7 linked regions of the Macaca mulatta genome follow. The protein of the gene in region 6 purifies or fractionates together with the protein of the main gene of each other region. This does not show direct contact. Links are inferred from orthologs where the notes say so. Each region holds a gene or a part of one and is shown on either strand. Other genes may lie near its edges.

Region 1 (3,500 bases), on a different chromosome or scaffold from region 6:
GCCCCACCAGGGGGCGCCCATGGGCCCCCCGGGCTCCCCCTACATGGGCAGCCCCGCCGTGCGACCCGGCCTGGCCCCCGCGGGCATGGAGCCCGCCCGTAAGCGAGCAGCGCCCCCGCCCGGGCAGAGCCAGGCACAGAGCCAGGGCCAGCCGGTGCCCACCGCCCCCGCGCGGAGCCGCAGGTGAGTGGGAGGCCCGGCGCGGAGGGGGCGTGCAGGGGCGGGCCCTGGGGACCCGCAGGGACCAGGTGAGAGAGTAGCGGGGATTGGAAGAGGTGAGGAAGAATGATTAGCAGGGAGCGAGGCTTCCCGGATCGGATGCCCTCTGGGGAGGTGGGCTTAGGGGGCACCGGCCTGATTCTTTTGTGTGCCCACGGTAGAGACAGGCTGTGGCCGTCGGCAGCCGGTACCGCTTCCCTGCACGTTCCCCTCACCCTTCTCCTTGTCACCTGCTCAGTCCCTCTCTCCACCCATCAGGTTCTGGGTGATGCTTCAGTCTTTGGGTTGGGGGCGGGGCTTCCAGTGGGACTGAGGGCAGAGCTGTAGGACTGTGTTGCCCAAAGTGTAGTTCTCCGCTGAGCCTTCCTGCCAGACCCCGGACTGTTTCAAAGCCACTCCAGATTTTCTCAATGGGACTCTCTGGCCCTGGGGGTGGAGCTTGGGGATTTGCCCTGTGGTAGGTGGTCTCTGCCCAGTTCCGCTCTTAATTCTTAGGCACTCTGGACCAGGTCTGCTCCCAAGCCACCAGGGCCAGCCCATTGCCTTATTTTCCTCCAGCAGCTGGTGGCACCCTTAAAGCCCCTGCTGGCTCCTGGCAACAGCAGTGCCCCTCTGGATTTCAGTATTTAGCCAAATACACATGCTTTTTTTGCACAACAGATGGATTTCTATAAAAGGTGTAATATCAATTTTACCTCATTATTAAGTATTTTTTACACATCAGGTAAAATTCACCACTTATAGGAATCCCATGATGAATTATTTTGTAAAGTGCATCGTCATTTTGTACAGCAAACGGTAATTCCCTGATTTATCTTGTATAAATGGAGAGTTACACAAAGATAATCTGTCTAAAACAAACCAGACCTTTAATGAAATCTGCTTGTTAGCCTTAGATTTCTGCATAGGGAGGGGGTAGTGGTTGAGAACACCACACGGGGGCAGTATGGAGCTATTCTCTAGGCTGCGTTTTCATCTCTTGACCCGCCAAGGTTTTTCTGGGGGTTTTTGGGTTAGTCAGCAGCAGCTAGTGGGTCAGAAAGAGCTCACATCCAGCTGCTACTACCCTGGGCCTAGTCAGTTTGGCCTCAGCCTGAAGTCACACCCATGCACATTCTGGGCGCCTATGGCTGCAGCATGTCCCTCACCTTGTTGCCAGGTAGTCCCAGGGCATGAGTACCCCTGCTCATCAGCATTCTCTTGCAAGCCCAGGGTGCCTGGAAGGGATGCAAGTCCCGCCAGCTTCACACCATCACCTCCCGCTCCATGGATAGGAAGGAAGTCGTCTATCTCCCTCCCTCTGAGCTTAGAATCCTTTGGACAGGGCACCCCCTGCTTTCCAGAAAAGGTCCTCAGACCTGGCTTCCCTCTCCTTTGTCCTCCCTCATCCCCACCTTTCCTCAAACACTTCTGCAGCTCCCATCTTTTGGCAGCACCACCCCCACTCGCCAGTCCCTCCTAAGTCTAAATTTCTCTGTCCCTAAGGATGTGGCAGGTTAGAAGGGGGCTCCCAGGCCAGAGAATGGACGGGTCACCCCTGTGTCCTTAGAGAGGACAGAGCACCAGTTCCACACACCACCGTCATAGCCCTTGGGCGGGCAGACAAGCGGGCTGTGGGAACCCCAGCCAGGCGGGCGGAGATGTCGGGATAATTTAGCAGGTGGCCTCGTTACTCCCAGATCTGTCGCCATGGTAACCTGGTTTTTTCTTTAAAAAATGTACAGTGCCAAGAGGAGGAAGATGGCTGACAAAATCCTCCCTCAAAGGGTGAGTGTCTTTCACAGCAGCCCCCAGCCCACCCCCTACCCTTTGCTGCTCTGCCCTCCCCTCCCCCCTCAAAAGCAGAGCTTCAGTGTCACAGTCACTTTCACTTTTTGTTTAAAAAAACTCATTAGTAAGTGAGGCTCCCTAGGCCAGAGGGAGGGGGTGAGGTGGAGGGAAGCAGCAGAGCCACTGGGGCCAGAACACAGGGGCCTGTCAGGGGGCTGGATCCAAGTGGTACTAAGACAGAGTTGTGGGACAAGAAGGGGGCAAGAGCTAGGGGATCAAAAGCTGCCAGGCAGAATGAAGGGGATAGAAGGTGGCCAGAGATCCTGAGCATCCTAAAGGGACCCAGGTCCAGCTGGATATGGGGGACAGCACAGTTGGGACAGGTGTGGGGGCTGAGCAATGTGCCAGCAAAGAAGAAAGCACTGCTGTCCAACTGTCCCAGGGATTGAGCCCCTACTAGGCACTTTGCAGGGGCCCAGGGGAAGCCCAGTGGGCATATGACATAGAAAATGACAGGATGAGGAGACTAAAGGCTAGTGCTTTGCTGGGTTCCACAGTTGCTACCTCCTCCCCGTGATGATACACAAGGCTCTTCCTAAAGGGAGAAGCAATTGTTATCCCTACACAGCAAGGCCCCTACTGCTGGATAATGGCATCCTGGGGAGAGGTCCTGTTCCCACTGTCAAAGCTCCATGCCCAGAAGTAGGATGGCTCCCCCGACATCTTTTGCACCCTAGGATTGCACAACATGCATACATTCCATGGTACAACCCTGGACTCGAGCCTCTGACTCCTGCCCTGCTCCTCCTCCTCCAGATTCGGGAGCTGGTCCCCGAGTCCCAGGCTTACATGGACCTCTTGGCATTTGAGAGGAAACTGGATCAAACCATCATGCGGAAGCGGGTGGACATCCAGGAGGCTCTGAAGAGGCCCATGAAGGTGCCTTAGTTCGGGGGTAGGAAGGGGACTCTTGAGTCGCGTGACCAGGATGGGGAAGCAAGGTAGTCAGGGTGGAAGCACACAGCATTTGCCAGGTTCTACACTCTATTTCTACAGCAAAAGCGGAAGCTGCGTCTCTATATCTCCAACACTTTTAACCCTGCGAAGCCTGACGCTGAGGACTCCGATGGCAGCATTGCCTCCTGGGAGCTACGGGTGGAGGGGAAGCTCCTGGATGATGTACGTCCCGGCCCAGGTCTCTCCAGGTGTCCTGGGGTGGGCACGGGCTGCACTGAGAACAGAACAAAGTGTCTGCACTAAGGGCTAGGGAGTCAGCCCAGGCTGGGGAGGTGGGGGCAGGCCTAGAGACATTCCAGGTGCAGAGGATTTCATCTAAGCCCACTGCCCTGTCTGCTGCCAACTTGGCCTCCTTCTGCTTCTCCCACCCTGTCCCTGTTCTGCCCCCATGGTTCCTGTTCCTCTCCCACAGCCCAGCAAACAGAAGCGGAAGTTCTCTTCTTTCTTCAAGAGTTTGGTCATCGAGCTGGACAAAGATCTTTATGGTCCTGACA
Region 2 (3,500 bases), on a different chromosome or scaffold from region 6:
AAAAAACAGCTAGGAAGTGCACTTCTATAATCCAAATTCTGGTTCAGTTTTGTAATCATATCTGTACCTGCCATAATATACAGCAGAATGCTATCTCTTAATCCATCAAAACTAAGAAATCTCTTTTGGTTATGGTACCTGTACTAAATGTAAAAGATATACTTATTTAATACTCATAGTTTAAGTTAGATACTGGCATAGTAAATACTCTAATATCTTTCACTAAAGTCAGGGAAGTAACCAAACAATATTAAATTCTAAAAACAGAACTCCTCATAGGAGATTCTTTACAAAACAAAAGCCAAAAGGAATAAAACACAAGGGTAGTCATTCACATTCTAGAGCAATTCAAGTTCTACAATCATTAAAATATACATTAAACACCTATGATAAAGGGACACCAAAAAATTCTAGGTTTATTTCTAAGTTTAAATCATAATGCTTTGTTAAATCACTTAGTTTTTCTTACCCAACAGTCTTCATCTTGAGGAAAACAGGGCAACATGAGAGAAGGGGAAGAGAGACAGCTTTGTAGCATTTTCTGTGATGAATGCTGCAGCTCAATATACAAAGCATCTGCCCTCTCTAAGAAGCCACAGTGCTGGCATCCAGGACTTCACACAGCAGATAACAACCGTGGCTTAGAGAAGCCAGTCTCAGTGGATTGCACAGTTGAGGGAGGGGTTAATGTGCAGCACTCTCCCCAAGGCCAATGGAACACACTCCCATGTGTGTCTGGTTGAGACAATCAGTTCTACTTCAAATAACTGCAACATCATCAGTTTCACTACTGACAAGAAAATTGAAATACTCATCCTAATAGCTCTCAGCATCTCAAATAAAAGGCTCACAGTACACTTACTTTTCTACTTGAAAAACAGCCAAAGATAAGACTTTCATGGTAGCAATAATATAGTATAGATTTTAATTATATATTTATAGGCTGGAATCCTAATAATTATGCTTTAAATTTCAGGTTAATGTAACCTAAACAATACGGTCCTACGAATTAAGGGCAAGCACTAGTGAATCTTATTAAGCAACCCGACAGATACATTACTTTCTTGAATCTCATATTTTATATATATATATAAATATATATATAAAACATGACCTTTAGCTTGAAGTACCCTAATATTTAGGCACATCTTGGTTTATTAATACTTTTTATAAAGAGGTTAACTTTTAATAAACCTGTTCACATTAATGTATGACTAGATACTGGTTGTTCCCATCTTTGAAATACCTGAAACATTTTTAGGTACTAAAAATGTTCACAGATTATGTAAAATATAAATTTTGCATATCCTACTTGAGTACTATTAGGTTCAGTTAATCTATATGATTTCTTGTATAGTAAATCAATGATAGTGTTAAATAGTTCATTTCCAGCCTGTATTAAAACATCTATTTCAATATTCTCTCTTTTTAACCCATGATCAATCAAGCTTACTGTTGGAAAGATCTACTTAGCACTCAAGAGTTAACAGGACACTGTGCTTTGAGCGGCCACTTCCATTTAAAGCTCTTAGCAGACCAGTAGAACACACTCATTCATGTACACTGTTTCTGAAATTTCATCTTTGGAGCTCACTTGCTTTCAGTTATTAAGCATTAGTTTATATATTTAAAGAAATTAGATAAGCTTTATATGTAAAAACAAGTACAAAAATCACATAGCTGCAGCCTATTGCAGCCACCCTTGGAAGCCAACCCTTGCTCAATTAAGCTTAAAATTTGCTTGCTACAGGCTACCAAAAAAAAAAAAAAATTTAAGTTATTTACATAAAAGCATTTTCTAATAAAACATGAAATACACTAATAGGTCACTTTTTTTACTTGAAGAAAGGTAAATGAACATGTTAGAACGTGTTCTAGTTAGTTTGACGGAAAGGTGACTAACTTCAGCCTGTTCTTGTGAATTATTTATCACAATCACAGTTCTGACATACAAGGTGTTTAACAATTTCACTTGGCAAAACTTCCTCATCAGCTTACTCTAAAATTTTCCTTCAATACACCTTCATAAGTGCAATAAAAGCATGTTCTAATACATTTCAGACCAAAGAATCAAAAGGTAGTATATTTTACTACCACCATCCCAAATATGAAACTGTACAGCTAATTCTTCCTTTTATGATATTCTTAAATCCCTATATGCAAATAAGGCTACACACCTCTCACCTCACCTTTTCTTCAAAAGAAAAGGGAGGGGCAGACAGAGGGAGGAAACGTTCAAAATATAATAATAGTTGCTGACAACCTACAACTTTACTCTGAGGATAATCAGATCAACAAGTTAACAAGTATGTTTTAATTCTTGTCATAGAATCATATAGGCTCTTTACCAAGGTTATGCTAAAAATCACACAATGTAAATAACAGGTTTTATTATTTTCTATCCCAGAGTTAGCTAAATTTAGCATATGGATCAAGTAATCCTTAGATTAAACCCAGATCTTTCTTAATGAAAGGCACTAAAAAATGCAACTTAGTCTAACAGTATACCCACTCATACTTCAGCTCAGCAGCTTTAGCTACACTAAATGCTGGGGCATTTAAAATGCCAAATAATTATGATCTTTACTCCAAGGAAAGAAAATATAAACTTCTGCCTATGAAATAATGTTTTAAAAACCCATACTTGCCTGGTTATTATTTCAAAGAAAAAAAAAGACTTATAAATTGTACATATACAGAAAACAGAAGCTAAACCATAGCCAAAAGTGACAGAAAAGCCACCAAGGAAATAAAGCACAAAAGAAAGCAGCAGACAGAGGGCACACCATAGAAGAACAGCTAGTGAAGTACAGCAGGCAGAAGCTCCACAATCGTGAAAGTCAAGTGAAAACATTTCAGGGAGAGAGGCTGGTCAGTAAAGAAGCTGAGTCAGGGGCTTTTTTCTTCTACCTTGTACCCAGGAACTGACTTGGACAGTACAGAACGTTTGGGACCATCTTTTCTTGGAGTGGCAGCTTTGTCTTTTGATTTCTGTCTTCCCTGGAAAGAGTCCTCCTGGCTGTCAGGAGCGCTTTCTCCTTCAGATACATTGCCAGAGGAGCTGTCCTGGAGTTTAAAAGGCAAAAACAAAGATTCTTTGGAATTGAGTCTGGATTTTGAAAACTATGGAAAATACTCAAAAAAAGTTTTAAAGCCTTATCAATTTAAAAATAAAAAGATCATTCTAAATGTAAGAAAGTTTTTTCCAGTGGAGACTAAAGTAACTTATGTTAAAAATCATTCATCTTTCTTCTAAGTATGATATGGTATAAAACTGATTGCATTCATATCAGTGCCTTCATCAACTTTGTTTTCTGACCTAAGTCACAAAAATGCAATTATCCGCTTCAGCTACTATTATACGGCACACAGCTTCAACATCATTTTCCATGTCACAAGGGAACATATTTGTTTCACACAAAAATATATTGTTACAAATAAGTGTGGGTATTTTCACTGAGTACTAAAAGTCATTAAGAAGGTCCTTCAGGAAAAATGAA
Region 3 (3,500 bases), on a different chromosome or scaffold from region 6:
CGCTGCTGCACCTGGAGAAGGGAGAGACCAAGTAGCTCAGGCGTTTACTACTCAGGGCCAAAGGAGGGAAAACAAGGCAGCGCCTCACCTTGGCAAAGATGTGCCTGCCTACTGCTTCCTGGGCCCAGGGCTGGTGGTAGAAAGCAGCTCGTCTCTCCTCCTCAGGATTTCCAATCACATCAGTGATGATCTGCAAAGAGCCAGAAGGAAAGCCATAGCATAATCCCCAGCCCTGGGCCAACCCACCCTGGGAACTGCTGTGGGTAAAAATCACCCAGAGCTTTACAAAGGAATCCCCTCGGGAAAGAGGACTACACCTTGAGGTCTCGGCGCTGGGAACGGAGCCATTCCTGGATGAAGTCCTGGGGATCGGTGCTAAAACTGAGCATGAAATCTCTCTGGGTCTTCAGCTGGTTGATGGACTCGATGGTCTCATGAATCTGGAGAGGGTACATGTGTCAGACTCTGCCCCCAAAGCTTAAATGCAAATGACTGAGCCAGAGTTCCCATCCCATCCCCTAGGTGCTACATGTATGGAAATGCTGGACAGATCCAGCCCACTCCAATCCTGGGCCCCAGAGGAAGCTGTGGAGCCAGAGGGCCCACCTTGACATCAAGGGAAGCGATCTCCTGCTGATTGGTGGTAGAGGCCAGAAAATTGCTCATCTGGGCCTTCAGTGGGTCGTCCACCTCCACATCAATGTCATAACAGGCTGTCTTCTTCTGGTCGTTAGGGTCCACACTGCAGGCAGCACATGGGGAGGGAAGGCACATAGCTGTCTTCATCCTGCCCACCTGGGCCAAAGCTAGGGCCCATTCTCTGCACATACTCAGGGAGCAAGAAACCTGATGCTCTCTTTGGCTTCAGTTCAAGCCAAGGGTGAATCTGCTGTTAAAAGAGCCTTCCTGTCCCGCTCCTTGCATTTACCTAATGACATGGTTGATGACAATGGGGTCCGGATGCTGCAGCAACCCCGCCAGCTTCATGGGAATCTCGGAGAAACGGAGTCGGCCACAACTGAAGATCTGGAGGAAATACCAAAGGCTCAGCGTTGCCTTGTGGGCACAGGGGAGTGGACCATTCCAGGACCAGTGAGGGCAGCAGTCTGGAGGCTGTGGCCAAGAAGTAGCCCAGCAGGCAAGGCAAGGGCTGAGATAACAGGGGGGCTGGCATCTGGCTAACCTGGCGGAAGTAACGGTTGCAGTTGATGTATTCCCGTTCGTGCCCATCCTGCAGCTGGTTGTGCTTGATGTAAAGCCACAGGGCCTGCATGATAGCGGCCCTCGTCTGTGTGTGCACTCCCAGCAGCCTTGCCAATCGGGGGTCCAATTTGTACTGGGGAGGCTAAAGTTGGATGGAGGGGAGTCAGGATGGGTTCTTGCAGTAAAACAAAGCGGGAAAATAGGGCAGGGACAGGAAGGTTTATAGGAACCAACTCCCCTCCTGAGGGGTCCTTGTGGCCCCAGAAATGACCCCAGGGCCTCTGTCACCTGATGATCCAGCATGAGCAGGAGGGTGCACTTGACGTTGAGGTCTCCAGGCCGTTTTACCTGGAAGCCATCTGTCTCCTGGGTGGTGGGCATCCGGTGCCACTGGCAGGGAGGGGAACATGGCTTATCACCAAGGGGGTGGGCATGAACACAGGGCCTCCCAAGGGCCCTGAGGCCATTTCCCTGCCAAACCTGCATGTCAGCCTGCCTCTGCCCCAGGCCCACTCTCACCTCCACCAGGTGATTGTCAGGCCCATACAGCTCCTTGTCCAGCTCAATGACGAGGCTCTTAAAGAATGAAGAAAACTTCCTCTTCTGTTTGCTAGGCTGGAGATGGAAAGGGGTGTGAGATGGTGCTGCTGAGCTCTCAAATCTCAAGCTATGCTAAATCCCAAGAACAAGAAGCCCCATTTCAGCCCTGGAGCTCAGGGTACTGAAGATTCCTGGGGCCCTGAAGAATGGAAGCAGGACTCTGGGCAGACTGGAGGCAGGGAAATGGCGCCCTCTTGCAGCCCACGAGGGACTTCCTGGAGACACTCGACTGCCATCTGCAGGAACATTGTAATAACCACGCAAATCAACCTCCAATGGGCTTGGAGCAGTGCCCCCTCTCTATGGCAGGACTTCTCTGGGAGCGCCCAAGTGTCTCGCCCAGTCTTTTTTTTTTTTTTTGAGACGCAATCTCACTGTGTCACCCAGGCTAAAGTGCAGTGGTGTGATCATAATTCACTGAAGCTCGACCTCCTGGGCTCAAGCCATCCTCCTGCGCCAGCCTTACCAGTAGCTGGGACTATAGACGCATGCACCACACCCAGCTAATTTTTAAATTTTTTGTAGAGACGGGGTCTGGCTCTGCTGCTCAGGCTAGTCTCAAACTCTTTGGTCCCAGTCTTAAACCCACACAGGCCTCCTTCCCTCCAGATACCTCCCTCCCCAACTCACATCATCCAGCAGTTTTCCTTCCACTCGGAGTTCCCAGGAAGCCACCTTGTCCCCTGCTGGGGTTCCCCCAGGGGTCCCTGCAGTTCCTGCACTATCGCCTTCTGCCTTGCTGGGACTGAACGTATTGGAAATGTAGATCCGAAGCTTTCGCTTTTGCTAAAGAGAGAAAGACAATCAACTGGAAGTGGACCAAGACGTTGGGACACTGCTACGCCATCTTCTGATATGAACATTCAACAATCAATACTGAGCACCATGGGCCAGCCAGGCACCTTGTCAGGCACTGGGAATCAGAAGTAAGTAGTAAGTCCCAGTCCCAGCCTTTTTTTTTTTTAGGACATGGTCTCACTCTGTCACCCAGGCTGGAGTGCAGTGGCGTGATCTCAGCTCACTTGCAACCTCTGACTCCTGGGTTCAAGCAATTCTCTTGTCTCAGCCTCCTGAGTAGCTGGGACTACAGGTGCATGCCACCATGCCCAGCTAATTTTTTTGTGTTTTTAGTAAAGATGGTGTTTCAACATGTTGGCAAGGCAAGGCTGGTCTCGAACTCCTGACCTCAGGTGATCTACCCACTTCGGCCCCCTAAAGTGCTGAGATTACAGGCGTGAGCCGCCACACCCGGCCGGAACTCACCATTTTATGGGGAAAGAGATGCATCACCAACAACGCCAGCACAGTGGAACTGGTGCAATGGCAACGCGGAGGCCTCTGGCTCACATCTTACATGATACCCAAACACCCATCACGGCCCCAAAATATCCTAGTCTCCTGGAAAGCCTTCCCCACTCAGGACGGTTCTAGATTATTATTAAGGAAAGTTTCTCGGCTGGGTGCAGTGGCTCTGTCATCTTAGCACTTTGGGAGGCCGAGGCAGTCAGGAGTTCGAGACCAGCCTGGGCACCATGGTGATACTAAAAATACAAAAATTAGCCAGGCGTGGTGATGGGCGTCTGTAATGCTAGTTACTCGGGAGGCTGAGGCAAGGAGAATTGCTTGAACCTGGGATGTGAAGGTTGCAGTGAGCCGAGATTGTACCACTGCACTCCAGCCTGAGTGAAAGAGCGAGA
Region 4 (4,215 bases), on a different chromosome or scaffold from region 6:
TGGCCAGTCTCTATTTCAAAGCTCTAAAATGACTGATGACAAAACAGAAAACTAGACTTTTTGTTATTCCAGGAAAAAACAATTTCACCAAACCAAGCCTTTAGGAGAAAGTCCCTCAAGATCATGAAAGACACCAACTTCCGTTTAAATTAAGCTGCTATTCCAAAGTTCAATTAACAAAAGAAAGTGTTAACAAGATTCAACATGTAAACAAAGAATGAGGCCAGCCTTCCATAACACAGAATGCTTGAACCTAATATAAAATTCCTCAGAAAGCTCCCAGTTCTTAAAAAAAAAAAACTAAAAAACGAAAATTGTTTTCTCCCCCACCCACAAAGATCCCACATTTGCCACTCAATAAAAACCCCAGTAAAATCATTTCAATTCTGCAAAGCAACCAGTGTCAAAATTACTCAAGACAAATGCATCTTCAGAGCCATCAAAGAAGTCATTTATACCATCAGGAAAGTCACAAAACCAAAACAAACAGCAAACCCATTGTAGAGAAAAAACTCAGCTACTGTTCTGACAACACAGAATTCATTTCAGGCTGCATAAAACATAACAAGCAAAATAAATCCAAGGTACAAGCAAAATGCCATTGCCCCCTCTTTTGTTTCGGGCACAATGTAACAAGGGCAGGCTGTCTGAGGCTTTGCTCCTGCTGATACAGTATTGCTACTTAAACCTCCCTCCTCAAGGTCACAGCCAATTTCAGCTCTGGAATAAAAGGCAGATAGTGGCAGCGATGGTTTGGGTTATCACTGGCAGAAAAGCAGAGTGTAAAAGTTTATGAGCTCATCAGGATTGTTGTACCATTACATCAGAGGCAATTATAAATGGCCAAGAGCAGGAGATGGGGAGCCAATCAGATCACAGATAGGATGTCAACCTAAGACCAACTGTCTCCTGGCTTTGACAGAAGGATTTTACCTCCATAATTCAAATCCCAAACCAAAGCAATCTGCACTTACTACTCCAATCACTCAGCTGTTTACCAGCACTTCCAGAGAGAAGCCCAGGCCACTGGGCCGGCGGAGCCTAAGACAGGAGATGGCAAGGGCTGCCCTAGGTGAACCGCAGCCGGCCTCTAGCAGCTCCCAAGCAGTCCCCTGCCCTCCCTCGAGGTCCCTCCGAGCTCTAGGGGCCCTCTTTGAAAGCACAGATGGGGGGCGGCCCAGAGGAAGGCCGGGGGACGGAGAGGAGCGGCAGGTGAGCAAAGAAACGTTCATTCAACTCCTGGGTTCCTACCACTGCCTACACTCCTAACCTGAGCCCCCAGCACCCCCTCACTCCCGGCCAGGCCCTTCCCCACACACTCTGCCCCGCACCCCCATCAAGACCCCTGGAGTTCGAAGGGACCAAGGGAGAGGAACAAGAGAAGCAGACACCTCTGGGAAAGCCCGACACAAAGGCTGGAGGAGGAAAGGAGAGGAAGGCAGACAGGCAGCCATTTTAAGAGAGAAGAGCCAGACAATGGCAGCTCCCCAGCAGTGGGGGCCCGAGACTGAGGGGAGCCCAAGGCTGTGGCCCGCTGACCGCAGCCGCCACCCACCCCCAGGACCACGCTCGCCCCAGCCCCCTCCCCACTCAGCTGTGTACCTGAGGGGTCCGGGCGAGCGGCTGCCCCCCGCCGCCGCTGCTCCCGGGGCTCATGGGCGCGTGGTGGCTCCTTTGTTGGGCCCCTCCCGAGGCGGCCGCCGCCGCCGCCGCCGCCGCTGCCGCCGCCGCAGCCCCCCAGCACTGCGAGGCCATGTCCGCCGGGCCCTTGCCGGCGCCCCCGTCCTGGGGCCCGCCGCCGTAGTCGCCCCCGGGGTAGCCCTGGTAGCCCCGGGCCGAGCTGGGCGACGTGAGCAGTTGGTTGAGGGTGGGGGTGGCGGTGGGCTGGGGAGTTCCCCCGCCGGCCGCGGAGGGGCCGCCTCCCCCCATGGCCCCGAAGCGCTGCTGAGCGAAGGACGAAGACGACGAAGAGGCGGAGGCGCTGGAGGAGAGAGGCGGCTTGGAGCCGGGAGCCGCCGCCGCGCCGGAGCCCGGAGTGCCACCTCTCGGGGAGCTCAGCGCGTAGGCCGGGGCGGGCGGGGGGTAGGCGCTGCGGTTGGGGTAGTAGGAGTTGTACTGGTGGTTGGGGAAGCCGTGGTCGTGAGAGTTCTGCTGGGGCCCCGCGTAGGGCTCCAGGCCCCCGCCGCCGCCGCTCTGCAGCGCTGCCAGGCCAGGGCTTTGTTGTCCGCCATGTTGTTGGTGGAAGACGGCGGCCGCGGCGGCGGCGACGGCAGACGGGCTCCGGCCGTAGGGTTGCCCGAAGCCGTAGGCTGGGGGCGGCAAGGCGGCCGCGGCAGAGTGAGGAGGCGCCCCCACCCCATCGCTGCTGCCGCCACCGCCGCCGCCGGGCGGCTCCGTGAGGTTATTGTTCAGGGCGGGCCTAGGGCCCGCGTTCCCGTTCGAGTTCTTCAGGTCCGGCTCCGCGCCGGGCCCGCCGCCGCCGCCAGCTCCGCCGCCGCCGCCACCCCCATTGCTCTCGGCCCCGTCTTGCAGCTCCTTTCCCAGCGGCTGCGGCGGCCCCACGGCAGGGCCCTCGCTTTCCTGCCCGGCGGCTGCCTTCATTTCCCCGCGCTCGGCCGCTGCCGCCGCCGCCGCCTCGCCCCCCGCCTCCTCCCGCTGCTGCTGCTCGGCTTTCTTCAGCTCCGAGGGCGGCGGCGGCGGCGGGTTGCCCAGGCTGCTGGCGGCGGCGGGGGCGACCTGCGCGGCCATGATCCCCGCTGTCTCGTCCGCGGAGAGACCCGGCCCTGTCTTCGTCTTCTCCCCCCCTCCCACCCCGCCCCGGGGCCGAGTCCCCCGGGCTGCCCTCCCCACCCGCCCGGGCGGGCCTCGCGGGGCTCCGCTGCTGCGCTGCGCTCGCTCCTCTCCCCCCCGCCCCGCCGGCTCAGGCTCCGGGCTGGCGGCGGCGGAGGAGGAGGAGGCGGCGGCGGCCGAGGCGCCGGCGGCTCAGCTGCTCCCGGCTCTGTAGGCTCGGGACCCGGCTCTCCCGGCTCATTCCCCCCAAGCCCTTGCCTGGGAATGAGGGGGGCGGTGGAGGCTCCGCTCCCCAGGGCCTGGCCCCGCTGTGACTCTCCGCTTTCTGCTGCCGGAGAAAGGAGGAGGGAGGGAGGGAGGGAGGCGAGGGGGAGGGGGCGGGGAGGGAGGGAGGGAGCGGGGGGAGGGGGACCCGGGACGGGCGGGCTGGAGGGCGCGCGGCAGCAGCCCGGGCGCCGGGAGCCAGAGTCAGAGCGCGGGCCGGGCCGGGCGCCCTGCCTTCCCTCGCCAGCCGCGGCTTGGGTCGAGGCTGCGGCGCGGCAGCGGGCGGGCGAGAAAGCGGTCGGCCGGACTGAGCGGCTAGAGCGCCCCACTCTCCTCCGAGTCCCCCTCACTCCGACACGAGGCTCAGCACTGCCATTTTACCCAGCGCCGTCGCGGCCGCCTTGCAAACCCGGAGTGGAGAGCGGAGCGGGCGCAGGCCGTGGAACGGACTCGCTCCCTACCCCTCACAAAGGAGGAGGGGAGAGAACAAGCCGCGGCGGCGGCAGGCCCTTAGCCGCTTTCGCTAGGCAGCGCCGCCGCCGAAGGCTTCGGAGAAAACCCGGCCCGGAGCCCGCGCATCTCTGGAGCCTGCGCCGCCTCCCTCCCGGCGTCCCTATCCAGGTCTGTCCCCTCCCGGCCGTACCGAGGGGAGCGGGCAGCGTGAACTTTACCCGCGACTGCAAAATTGGCCAGAGCCCGAGACCGCGGCCGCCTCGGCCCAGCCCTGACCCCCTGGCAGCGGGCCCGGTCCGTTGGCTGCTGTTTAGCACCTCTACAGCACTTTTCGTCTTCAAAGCCTTCTACAGACCCCGCTAAAGACCCAGCCTTTTTACCCTCTTTGCGAGCCCAAAGGAATGACTGGTCATTGTTCAGATGATTCGTTTCCCACTCGCCTGCCCTCATTAGCCGGTCCTCACAAGGCTCTGGGGGCATGAGGTCCGGATTATCCCCATTTTACAGAATTGAAAGAGGGGAGGGAACTGCCTGTCACTTAAAGTCAGAGGGCAGAGGAGGGTGACTTTAAAAAGAAGTGGAGTCACCAAAGCTGCCTTCGGTCTACTTGCCTTAAAAAAAAAAAAAAAAAAAAAAAAAGTCAAGTTGTGAGCACATTCAACAATGGAATCAGAATATCAAAATGGATTTGAAGTCAAAACTGATCAT
Region 5 (3,500 bases), on a different chromosome or scaffold from region 6:
ACAACTACATTATTTCAATAGATGTAGAAAAGGCTTTTGGCATGTTAAAAACTCTAGATAAACTAGGTATTAAAGGAACATACCTCTAAATAATAAGAGCCATCTATTACAAAGCCACCCAACATACTGAAATGACCAAAAGCTGGAAACATTCCCTTTGAAAACCGATACAAGAGAAGAATGCTGTCTCCCACCACTCCTATTCAACATAGTATTAGAAGTCCTGGCCAGGGCAGTCAGGTAAGAGAGAGAAATAAAGGGCATTCAAGTAGGAAGAGGGGAAGTCAAACTACATCTGTTTGCAGATGACATAATTCTATATCTAATAAACCCATAGTCTCAGCCCAAAAGCTCCTTCAGCTGATAAACTTCAGCAAAGTATCAGGATACACAATCAGTGTACAAAAATCACTATCATTCTTATACCAATAGCAGCCAAGCCACGAGCCAGATCAGGAACACATTCTCATTCACAACTGCCACAAAAAGAATAAAATACCTAGAGATACAGCTAACCAGGGAGGTAAAAGATCCCTACAATGAGAATTACTCACTGCCCAAAGAAATCAGAGATGACAGAAGCAAATGAAAAAACATTCCATGCTCATGGATAGGAAGAATCAATGTTATTAAAATGGCCATACTGCCCAAAGCAATTTACAGATTCAATGCTAATCCTATCAAATCACCGATGACATTCTTCACAGAACTAGAAAAACTATTTTAAAATTTAGATAGGCACAGTGACTCACGCCTGTAATCCCAGCACTTTAGGAGGCCAAGGCAGCCGGATCACTTGAGGTCAGGAGTTCAAGACTGGGTGACAGAGTGAGACTCCATCTAAAAAAAGAAAAAAAAAAAAAATGTTTCCAGAAGAATAAAATAAATAACATTTAAAATGCTGATTATTAGCTCTTCCGTTTATGGAAAATTAACCTAAGGAAGTAATCAAAAATTTGGGCAAAGCCTTATCCTCAATAAAAACCTTATGATATTTGCAAATGATAGCTTGTACTGGAACTTTTTTTTTTTTCTTTTTTTGAGACAGAGTCTTGCTGTGTCACCCAGTCTGGAGTGCAGTGGTGCGGTCTTGGTTCACTACAACATTCACCTCCCAGGTTTAAGCGATTCTTCTGTCTCAACCTCCCAAGTAGCTGGGACTACAGGCACCCGCCACCATGCTGGCTAATTTTTTTATATTTTTAGTAGAGACGAGGTTTCACCATGTTGGCCAGGCTGGCCTTGAACTCTTGACCTCAAGTGATCTGCCTGCCTCGGCTCCCAAAGTGCTGTGATTACTGGCATGAGCTACTGCTCCCGGCGTGTACTGGAACTAATAAGTTTTACTTAACAAAAATAAAAGTCGGCTGGGCACAGTGGCTCACACCTGTAATCGCACAGTTTTGGGAGGCTGAGGCGGGCAGATCTGAGGTTGGGAGATCGAGACCAGCCTGACCAACATGGAGAAACCCATCTCTACTAAAAATACAAAATTAGCCGGGCATGGTGGTGCATGCCTGTAATCCCAGCTACTCGGGAGGCTGAGGCAGGAGACTCGCTTGAACCTGGAAGGCGGAGGTTGCGGTGAGCTGAGATTGTGCCACTGCACTCCAGCCTGGGCAACAAGAGCGAAACTCCATCTCAAAAAAAATAAATAAAAATAAAAGTCATTTTGAAAAAAGCATTTCCTGTCAGGGCAAGTGTTCATGATATATTAAATATATATACATATATATATAGTTTTTTGTAGAATATACATATTCCATATTTCTTCAATTCTATGACTGCATTAAATGTGTCATATTTGTGTAATAACTTGTTAGTGAAATGAAACACATTGAGAAGCCTTAAGGTGGAAGTGAAGTATATCAGAGATTATCTCTAGAAATACCTGATTTGAAACGACGTATGTACTTCTTTGTGCCTTTCAATATTATCCGAAATGACCATGTGATCATTTATTAGTAAGATGATGTTTTTATTCTATACATCCTTTGTGTAGTTACATATTCATTTAAATTAATGATGGTTGTAATTCAAAAATACAGTTTTGAGTAGAGGCTATTAGGAATGTAAAGATCATACTGTTGCTGATTCCTGCCTTCGCACGTTGCAAATGGAATTAAATGTATTGAATGTATTATTAGTATGTGTTGTTTGAATCCTACATCTGACTCCAGCATCCCTTTGGTGAGTACTTTTTTCCTTTATTTATTTATTTTTTTACCTAAGAAGCTGAAAAGAGTGAAGATTCCTCTGGTGCTGCAGGCCTTTCAGGCTTACATCGCACATACAGCCAGGATTGTAGCTTTAAAAACAGCATGTACCATGTTGGAGATTATGTCTATGTGGAACCTGCAGAGGCCAACCTACAACCACATATAGTCTGTATTGAAAGACTGTGGGAGGATTCAGCTGGTAAGTTTGTTTTAAATCAAAGAACAGTTTAGTGAGATATGACTATTTGACTTCTCCTTGCTCTTCAGGGAAGAAAATTTTAACTCAAATATCTTATGCCTTTCCATAATAATTGTTCAATATATCAATAAATGTAAGTAAGCACCCATCATATGAAAAACATAGGACCTATTGGGCAGTGTCATAGTTGAGTCAAAAGAAATACAGCTTCTTAAAGTCTGGTTGAAATTCATTCGTTCAGTTGATACTTATTAAAAACATACTTTGAGCCAACCTTTCTGTGGAGTGACAGAGATTCAAAAGAACAAAAAGTTCATGTTTTTCCCTTGCAAAACTACTCCAGTAAGGAAGATTATGATCAAAAAAGAAATTATTATAGAATGACATGCCTTGGCTTGGCATTTGTTTTCAAAAAGGCTTTCTAGAACAGTTGCCTTTAAATTGAGACATAGAGTATGCATAGAAGTTAATGAAACCAAAAGTTGGTGGAAATGTGATCCAGGCAGTCCAGTTCTTTGAGCTGTTTATCACATGAAATACTTTTGTATTCCTTCACCAGAGAGGTAAATATGTCCTTCAGTAGTATATGTCTACCCTTACTAAAGTGCACAACTCTAGGTATGTACTAACCAGAGCACAGTGGAGCAGGTCTCATCACCTGTCCTCCTCATTATATATTTTATATGGCTTTTAATATGAAGAAGAGCCTGGGTAACATGGCAAGACCGCTTCTCTAGAAAAAATAAGAAAATTAGCAGGGCATGGTCGCACTTGCTGTGGTCCAGGCAACTTGAGAGGCTGAGGCAGGATGATCACTTGAGCCCAAGAGGTTGAGGGTGTATATATATATGAGGGGGAAATAGTAGCATGCATTTTTTAGGCCTCATTACACTTTATTATTTTAGAGTATTATTTCTCCTATGGATAATTATATTAAACTGTAGCTGTAAAAATAAGCACAGTGCTAGGTTCAGATCATGGCAGAATGGATTGATGGTATATTTCCTAATTTTGCAAAGAATGTGTGATTTCTGAGCTGGACACAGTGACTTATACTTGTAGTCCCAGCTACTCAGGAGGCT
Region 6 (4,100 bases):
GAAACCCCGTCTCTACTAAAAAATACAAAAAAAAACTAGCCGGGCGAGGTGGCGGGCGCCTGTAGTCCCAGCTACTCGGGAGGCTGAGGCAGGAGAATGGCGGGAACCCGGAAGGCGGAGCTGCAGTGAGCTGAGATCCAGCCACTGCACTCCAGCTTGGGCGACAGAGCGAGACTCCGTCTCAAAAAAAAAAAAAAAAAAAAAAGAAGGGGCCAAAAAAAAAAAAAATCTCAAAGCCAAGTTTCTACAAAGTCCACCTTACAACACTGAGCAACAGCTCCTCCTGCGCCCAGGGCGGGGTGCTCTTGGAGGCATGACCTCACTCGTCCTCAACAACCTGAGGGGACCTGGAAGCCAAGCAGAGAGCCCCGGGTCACCATGGTTAGAGAAGTGACAATGGTATGCCGAAGGTCGCGGCAAGGAAGTGAACTGGAAGTTGGACCATGAGATCCCAAAGCCTGAGGTCTTCAGAGGACACGAGGTGTTGTTTCCCCAAACCCAGGGAGGCGCAGAGGCACAGCCCCACAAGCCCCAACTACAGGCCTGGTCCCCGCGGGGTCAGCGGGCTGGAAGGTCTCCAGGCCGGCCGCCCTGGGGCCCGCGGGGTGGGAAGCCCCATCTCTCCATCTGCCCTCCTGGCAGAGCAGCTGGCCGCTCTGCGGGAGCAGCTGTCAGGGTGCAGGAGCCTCTGTCCCGCCGGGAACCTGGGGTAGGAGGCCCCACCACGCCTCCTTGAGCAGAGAAAGGCGGCTTGCCGGATGCTTCCCAACCTCCAGGTCGGCGACAGAAGGGACCCAGGCACAGACACCAGTTCTTTCTTTGCACAGGGGCTGAGGCAAGGAGGGGAGCAACTCCGGGCTTCCCGCGGGGAATCCCACAGTAGAGGGGGCTGCGGGTTGTTTCCCAGCGTGTGTGTGTTGGCCTGCAGCTGTTTCTGCCATTTTTAAATGGCTCCAGTTGGGCACCGGGCACCCTGCGTACCAGGGGAGCTCCCGAGACACCGACGACTTGGATCTCAACTTTGGAAAGCCTCCCCTTCTCACGGTTCTGAAAATTCTTTGTCCCACTGGAGCCAAACCCAGCCCACGGCCGGGCATCCGGCCATCGCAGCCAGCCCTTTCCATAGGAGGCCGGGGAGCACGTGGACTTTATTGATTTTCCTCTTGCCTTTTTTGTTGGGTTTGACTCAGAAAGGACAGCTAACTTGTGACACCGCCACACCGGAGGCTCGCCCCCAGTGGCTTTTAGAGACCAAGGCGCTACTCGAGAAACGACACCCCCAAACGTAAACATCCCCTGCCACCGGGCCTGCCCGGCTTCCAAGCTCGAAATAAAGCGTCGGGACGAGCCCGCGGGCGCTGACACTCGGGGCCAGAGTCGCCGCGGCTCCTCTCCCTCCGGGACCCGGTGAAGGCGTGGGAAAAAAACAATAAAGTTGAAATCAGGGATCGGGGAGTTTTCAACAAGTCTGACCCAACCTGGCAATCTGCTCGCGCCTCGGGCCTGGCCCAGGGGCCGATTCCGAGCAGACCCCGACGAGGCCGCGAAAAGGTTCGATCCCCTTAATATCGACCGGGCCACGCCGGGGGGACGCTAAAGTGAACCCGAAAACCACGCGCGGCCGCCGCCGCGTCCCCCTCTCCCCAGTGCAGAGAACAAAAACAACGGCTCCCTCCGCAAAACAAACACGAGCTCCCGGTGTGGAGAGGCAGCCGCGGCCCAGGACCAACAGCTTCTGGCCAAAAACATCGGCTGACCCGAGCCCCCCTCCCGGGGCGCCGCGCAGAGTAGGGTGGAACGTGGGCGCCCCGCGCCCCTGGCCGCTGGCGCCCGGCGCTCGCCCCCATCTTTCCTGGTCGCCGAGAGCCCTCGCTCCAGGCAGCCCAAAGCGCTAAATTTAAACGGCTCGCGCTTTGCAAACTCCGCAGACTCGAGGGCGCCGGGCCCGGGAGGCGGGAGCCGGCGGCCGGGCGGGCCGGGGCCGACTGAGGGCGGCGGGGCGCGGGCCGGGGCGCGCGGGGAGGAGACGGCGGCGGCGGCCCGCTCGGAGCCTGCACAATGGAGCTCGCGCTTTCCCCGCCGCCGCCGGCATCGCGGCCCCGGCGCGCGGGAAGCCGCTTTCATGTGACTTGCACAAAACGAAATGGCTTCTGGGGCCGGCCCCGAGCCCCCCTCCCGGGAGCCGAGCGCCGCCGCGGGGGCCGCCCCGCCGCTCCAGCCGCCCGACCCCGGCGCCCTCCGCCTCCTGTCCGCCGCCACCGCCGCGCCAGGTGGGCGACAGGCGCGAGCGCACCTGGGCAGCGGCCGCGGCCCCCGCCTGGCGCAGGTGACCCGGCTCGCGCGCCGCCCGCCCGCCCTCGCCAAGTCCCGGGGCCCGCGGCGGGGCCGGGCCAGGGCAGGCGACCGGGGCGCTGCGCCCCGCGGCTTTCCGGAGCCGCGCTCGGGCTCGGGGTGGCCGGGGGGGCGGCGGGTGCCTCCGCTTACCATTTGCGCACTTTCTCGATCGCCGCCATGACCCTCTTGATATCATCTTTGGCCCGGCTCCTGGTCTCGGCTCGAACCGACCTGCCCGACATGGTTCCGGCGGGGAGACGGAGGCTGGGGAGCGCGCCCGCCGGGTCCTGCTCGCCCTCCGCGGAGGCCACACTCGCGCCCGCCCGCCGCTCACTCACTCGCGCACAGACACTCGCACTCTCACACGCACACACTCACACACACATACACACACACACACATACACACACACACACACACACACAAAAAGCCCGGGGCCGCCGCGCGCCCGGCCCAGTGCGCAAGCGCCGGGCGGCAGCTGCACCGAGCAGGGGGAGCCGCGCCGCCGCCGCCGCCGGCAGTGCGGCCTCCGGGCGCCGCGGCCACCGGGCAGCGCCACCGGGCCTCCTGCGCCCCCAGAGGGGACGCCCCGCACGCCCTCCCGAGGAGGTGCCGAAGGGCGCACGGCGACCCCCGGCTCCGGGCGAGCGGCGGGGGCGGGCCTGCGGACGTGCGCGCAGACCCTTCCTCGGAGGCCGCAGGTGCCGAGGGGTCCACCGGAGACAGCCGGTCTGCGGGGCGGGGGGGACGCGTTCCCCGGGACCCAGCCCAGCTGCCCCTGCCCTGCCCCCGGAGCGCGGCGGCGGGTGCAGTAGTGCAAGTTTCTTGCAGGTCTCTTGACTTCTCCGAGTTGAAGGCGCCGGTTCGGGACGCGAGGTGCTCTTGGAAAGAGTTGGGCATCGCGCATCTCTGCTGGCCCGCGGCCCTGTTCAAATGAGAGCTAGGACGTCGCCTGCCCCAGGCTTTGTCCTTTTGGAAAACTGGGGTTGTAGGAAGGTGCCTGGGGCCAGGCGGACTACCAGAGACTCTCGACCTTGCGTACTAAAGAGTTTTCTGCTCAGCAAAAGCTGAATGATGATCAGCATCGTAACAGGGACTCTTCCTCCCGCCCCCGTCCCCTTAGAAGTTGCCTTGTCATAAACAAGGCGAGAGGGTCTTCGCTGAGCTTCACCGGAGGACCACGATTTCACCTTAAGCCACTCCTGACTTCAGTACCAGACTGAGACCAGGCGCTGTTATTGCCCAAATGGCCCTAGCGGGTACTAGGGGCTGGTCTCATCTACAAGGAGGGCTTTTGAGGCCTCCCAGCAGAGCCCTGGGGAGGAATCTGCGATGATCAGGGTAACCTGGGTGCCGCGTCTTGGTGTTCAGCTGCGGAACCGGCTGGACCAGAGCTAATGCGCTCCCAGAATGAAGTGGGAGACCGAGAGTGGCCCAAATGTCAGCGCCCCGGGCCTGGAGATGAGAGCCCGACAGCAGCCATTTCACAGCTGGGGAAACTGAGTCCCGGGAAAGTTCAAGGTTGCAGCCTTAAACTGTCACTCATTCTAGACGTTTCCCCCGGAGGGTTTGGTCTTTGGGGAAAACGCTACTGAGGAAATGGAGGGACCGCAGGCCTTTTCCTAGGCATTTCTTTTTACTATTCTGAAACTCAAACTCCTGACGTGAAAAATGAAGAAAAAAACAAATACCAGCCGGGCGCGGTGGCTCATGCCTGTATTCCCAGCGCTTTGGGAGGCCGAGGCGGGCGGATCACTTGAGGTTAG
Region 7 (3,500 bases), on a different chromosome or scaffold from region 6:
AAAGCAGGAGGATTGCTTGTGGCCAAGAGTTTGAGACCAGCCTGGGCAACACAGCAAGACTCTGTCTCTACAGAATACTTAAAAATTAGCTGGGCATGGTGGCTTGTGCCTGTAGTCCCAGCTGCTCCAACTGAGGCTGAGGTGGGAGGATCAATTGAGCCCAGGAGTTCGAGACTGCAGTGAGCTATGATCATGCCACTGCCCTCCATCCTGGATGACAGAGCAATACCCAGTCTCAAAAAAAAAAAAAAAAGAGGGCATGTGCAATTATCTACACAAGACAATGAAGGCTTTTGTTCAATGAGAGCCTCTTCATGGGATAAATAGCTGTTCAATTAGATCATAATTAGAAAAGCCATTCCCCGAAAAAAGGAAGCAGATGACTTACATGCAAGGAAGAACAAGCCCAAATTCTTAGACCTTATTACCCCATCTGTGGTCAACACTGGGGCCATATAAATGAAAGAAGAAAATAAAAAATAACAAAAACAGATAACTTAGACAGACGTAGCACAGATATACCACATATAACCCTAAAGGTGAAAAACTCTTAAAAAGTAGAAAGATTACAGAGTTTTTAAAAAAACTGTATCTTACCTAATAGTTTTAATTTCAGAAGTTTATTTCCTAAAGGAATTACTCAAAAGGAAAGAAAAGTAATTTTTTTAACTTTTTACAAAAACAACAGTTTTTAGCTATAGTATTTATGATAATGAGAATTTTAGGAACTGCTTAAGTGCAAGACAATAAGAGAGGTGCTAAACTGACATAGGAGCACCACAAAGGCCTCTAACAGGGTTCCCTCTAACAGGCTTTCCTCTGTAACAGGCTTCCCTCTGTAACGGGGTTTCCTCTGTAACAGGGTTCCCTCTGTAACGGGGTTTCCTCTGTAACAGGGTGTCCTCTGTAACAGGCTTCCCTCTGTAACGGGCTTCCCTCTGTAACGGGCTTCCCTCTGTGACGGGCTTCCCTCTGTGACGGGCTTCCCTCTGTGACAGGCTTCCCTCTGTAACAGGCTTCCCTCTGTGACAGGGTGTCCTCTGTAACAGGCTTCCCTCTGTGACAGGGTGTCCTCTGTAACAGGGTGTCCTCTGTAACAGGCTTCCTTCTGTAACGGGCTTCCCTCTGTAACGGGGTTTCCTCTGTGACGGGCTTCCCTCTGTGACGGGCTTCCCTCTGTGACAGGCTTCCCTCTGTAACAGGGTGTCCTCTGTAACAGGCTTCCCTCTGTAACAGGCTTCCCTCTGTAATGGGGTTTCCTCTGTGACAGGCTTTCCTCTGTGACAGGGTTCCCTCTGTGACAGGCTTCCCTCTGTGACAGGGTTCCCTCTGTGACAGGGTTCCCTCTGTGACAGGCTTTCCTCTGTGACAGGGTTCCCTCTGTGACAGGGTTCCCTCTGTAACGGGCTTTCTCCTCTGTAACGGGCTTTCTCCTCTGTAACGGGGTTTCCTCTGTAATGGGGTTTCCTCTGTAACAGGGTTTCCTCTGTAATAAGGTTTGCTCAAGTATGGTTCCTCCCTGTCTGGTGGGACACTGAGGTGATTAAGTGGGTCAAAAAGGAGCATTTGTTTTGTATGTATTGCTACAGAGAAAGCTTTTTTTTTTTTAAATGAGTTAGTTTAAAGAAAAATATTAAGTAAACAATAGTACAGGCTGTTAGTAGATATATGAAAAACTATGAAGGCGATAGAGCAAAGACTGAGATTAAGGAAACACTAGATACCTATTAAAAATAAGCATATAGGGTGTGCGCAGTGGCTCACACCTGTAATCCCAGCACTTTGGGAGGCCAGGATGGGCGTATCATGTGAGGTCAGGAGTTCAAGACCGCCGTGGCCAACATGGTGAAATCCTATCTCTACTAAAAATACAGAAATTGGCTGGGCATGGTGTCATGTGCCTGTAATTCCAGCCACTTGGGAGGCTGAGGCACAAGAATCGGTTGAACCCGGGAGGTGGAGGTTGCAGTGAGCCGAGATTGGGCCACTGCACTCCAGCCTGGGTAACGGAGTGAGATTCTGTCTCAAAACAAAACAAAACAGAAGCATATAAACCAGACCCGTACAGCTGGCTAAGTGTAAACTGACAAAAATTAAATTTGGAATCAAAACATTTATTTTTCTTCTATAAAATTCCTTGAGGGCCTGGGAAACTGAATATTGTTAGAGATGATGTTTCCTCTGCTGTGATAATTTTACAAACTGGCATTTTCATAAAGTCACTGCCCAGTTCATATGTTGTTCGTTAGTTGTTAAATGCCTTAAGTCACTACCAAGAAAGTGAAACATTGGGCAGAATTTCAATTACTGCCATCACATGCAGCTTTCACATTGATTCCAAAGCCAGAAGAGACATGTTGTATCTCATTTATGTTTTAGCCAAAGCCTTCTCAGACACACATCATCACTTAAAGACTGTGAGATAAATTACTACCTTGGCCAGTGAACACATTACGTCCTCTGTATGGTTTTTATCAAGTAACTGCCCAGTGCTCCCATGACGCTGGTCAGGTCCCCTTGTTAGGCCAGCAAGGGCCATGGTTCCTTGATAATTAAGTGTTAACATGTTACACTCCTTTTTATGGTTACTGGTGACCTACTTTGCAGAACAATTTGTTCATTGCAGATTATGATGATGGCTTTTCAATGAAGCATACAGCCACCGCCCGTTTCCAGAGAAACCACCGCCTCATCAGTGAAATTCTTAGTGAGAGTGTGGTGCCAGACGTTCGGTCAGTTGTCACAACAGCTAGAATGCAGGTCCTCAAACGGCAGGTCCAGTCCTTAATGGTTCATCAGGTAAAGTCATAAAACTTTCAATAAAATGGACCTATACCACAAATCCCAGCTGACGTGATTCCTACACCATGCCTAAATGTACCTGTTAAATATGTCAGTCTAAACTGTTCCTGATTTGGAGAAGAGGTTTAAGGAAGTGGACCTTTCCCAAATGTTTAATAAGTTTGTCATTAAAAACTATAATATAGAACCTTGTAATGGAAGGTATATTTGTTAAGAAGTACATGTGAACTTAAGAATTTTGAGGCGTCCTATCAGTCTTTACTGCTCTACTAAATACTTTTTCCAAAGGAATTGCTCAGGCCTGAAACAGTATTCTTTAACATTTACCTATTGATCATAATCATTTCTTTGTGCTGCATTTTGTATTTTTTAAATCTTAGCTAGACTCATGTAATAAATGATCTAAAGTTCAAAACATTATTTGGTACACTGTTTGAAAGTATGAACCATTAAAACAGGAGATATGATTGTAAAGCCTGATCCTGTCTTGCAGCGAAAACTAGAAGCTGAACTTCTTCAAATAGAGGAACGACACCAGGAGAAGAAGAGGAAATTCCTGGAAAGCACAGATTCATTTAACAATGAACTTAAAAGGGTATCTGTTTAATATGTTAACTATACTTTTATCACCGTACCTGTTACTTTACTTTTCCTCATTCTTTTTTCCAAAATAATATTTTTATTGAATGTTGTTCACT

Evidence for each region.
Region 1: the proteins of BCL7A (region 6) and SMARCD3 purify together in Homo sapiens (affinity purification with mass spectrometry; 4 studies listed by BioGRID and IntAct, counting the BioPlex papers as one, with this or other methods). This does not show direct contact. The link is inferred for Macaca mulatta from reciprocal best matches to the Homo sapiens genes BCL7A and SMARCD3.
Region 2: the proteins of BCL7A (region 6) and PHF10 purify together in Homo sapiens (affinity purification with mass spectrometry; 3 studies listed by BioGRID and IntAct, counting the BioPlex papers as one, with this or other methods). This does not show direct contact. The link is inferred for Macaca mulatta from reciprocal best matches to the Homo sapiens genes BCL7A and PHF10.
Region 3: the proteins of BCL7A (region 6) and SMARCD2 purify together in Homo sapiens (affinity purification with mass spectrometry; 5 studies listed by BioGRID and IntAct, counting the BioPlex papers as one, with this or other methods). This does not show direct contact. The link is inferred for Macaca mulatta from reciprocal best matches to the Homo sapiens genes BCL7A and SMARCD2.
Region 4: the proteins of BCL7A (region 6) and ARID1A purify together in Homo sapiens (affinity purification with mass spectrometry; 5 studies listed by BioGRID and IntAct, counting the BioPlex papers as one, with this or other methods). This does not show direct contact. The link is inferred for Macaca mulatta from reciprocal best matches to the Homo sapiens genes BCL7A and ARID1A.
Region 5: the proteins of BCL7A (region 6) and PBRM1 purify together in Homo sapiens (affinity purification with mass spectrometry; 3 studies listed by BioGRID and IntAct, counting the BioPlex papers as one, with this or other methods). This does not show direct contact. The link is inferred for Macaca mulatta from reciprocal best matches to the Homo sapiens genes BCL7A and PBRM1.
Region 7: the proteins of BCL7A (region 6) and SMARCE1 purify together in Homo sapiens (affinity purification with mass spectrometry; 4 studies listed by BioGRID and IntAct, counting the BioPlex papers as one, with this or other methods). This does not show direct contact. The link is inferred for Macaca mulatta from reciprocal best matches to the Homo sapiens genes BCL7A and SMARCE1.

What each region holds. Positions count from the first base shown.
Region 1 is NC_133408.1:190,675,212-190,678,711, reverse strand, and holds part of SMARCD3 (SWI/SNF-related matrix-associated actin-dependent regulator of chromatin subfamily D member 3), read left to right. Parts: coding exon 1-183; intron 184-1,943; coding exon 1,944-1,986; intron 1,987-2,805; coding exon 2,806-2,928; intron 2,929-3,045; coding exon 3,046-3,168; intron 3,169-3,418; coding exon 3,419-3,500. UniProt on the Homo sapiens protein: Involved in transcriptional activation and repression of select genes by chromatin remodeling (alteration of DNA-nucleosome topology).
Region 2 is NC_133409.1:2,320,296-2,323,795, reverse strand, and holds part of PHF10 (PHD finger protein 10), read right to left. Parts: intron 3,067-3,500; coding exon 2,911-3,066; intron 1-2,910. UniProt on the Homo sapiens protein: Involved in transcription activity regulation by chromatin remodeling. Belongs to the neural progenitors-specific chromatin remodeling complex (npBAF complex) and is required for the proliferation of neural progenitors.
Region 3 is NC_133421.1:73,629,562-73,633,061, forward strand, and holds part of SMARCD2 (SWI/SNF-related matrix-associated actin-dependent regulator of chromatin subfamily D member 2), read right to left. Parts: intron 2,590-3,500; coding exon 2,434-2,589; intron 2,367-2,433; exon of another isoform or gene 1,819-2,366; coding exon 1,723-1,818; intron 1,594-1,722; coding exon 1,492-1,593; intron 1,346-1,491; coding exon 1,184-1,345; intron 1,139-1,183; exon of another isoform or gene 1,027-1,138; coding exon 929-1,026; exon of another isoform or gene 743-928; coding exon 607-742; exon of another isoform or gene 441-606; coding exon 318-440; exon of another isoform or gene 191-317; coding exon 89-190; intron 12-88; coding exon 1-11. UniProt on the Homo sapiens protein: Involved in transcriptional activation and repression of select genes by chromatin remodeling (alteration of DNA-nucleosome topology).
Region 4 is NC_133406.1:214,286,793-214,291,007, forward strand, and holds the start of ARID1A (AT-rich interactive domain-containing protein 1A), read right to left. Parts: upstream 2,801-4,215; 5' UTR 2,749-2,800; coding exon 1,603-2,748; intron 1-1,602. UniProt on the Homo sapiens protein: Involved in transcriptional activation and repression of select genes by chromatin remodeling (alteration of DNA-nucleosome topology).
Region 5 is NC_133407.1:116,140,845-116,144,344, reverse strand, and holds part of PBRM1 (protein polybromo-1), read left to right. Parts: intron 1-2,232; coding exon 2,233-2,418; intron 2,419-3,500. UniProt on the Homo sapiens protein: Involved in transcriptional activation and repression of select genes by chromatin remodeling (alteration of DNA-nucleosome topology). Required for the stability of the SWI/SNF chromatin remodeling complex SWI/SNF-B (PBAF).
Region 6 is NC_133416.1:129,393,272-129,397,371, reverse strand, and holds the start of BCL7A (B-cell CLL/lymphoma 7 protein family member A), read right to left. Parts: upstream 2,801-4,100; 5' UTR 2,577-2,800; coding exon 2,485-2,576; intron 1-2,484.
Region 7 is NC_133421.1:65,012,063-65,015,562, reverse strand, and holds part of SMARCE1 (SWI/SNF-related matrix-associated actin-dependent regulator of chromatin subfamily E member 1), read left to right. Parts: intron 1-2,626; coding exon 2,627-2,799; intron 2,800-3,295; coding exon 3,296-3,397; intron 3,398-3,500. UniProt on the Homo sapiens protein: Involved in transcriptional activation and repression of select genes by chromatin remodeling (alteration of DNA-nucleosome topology).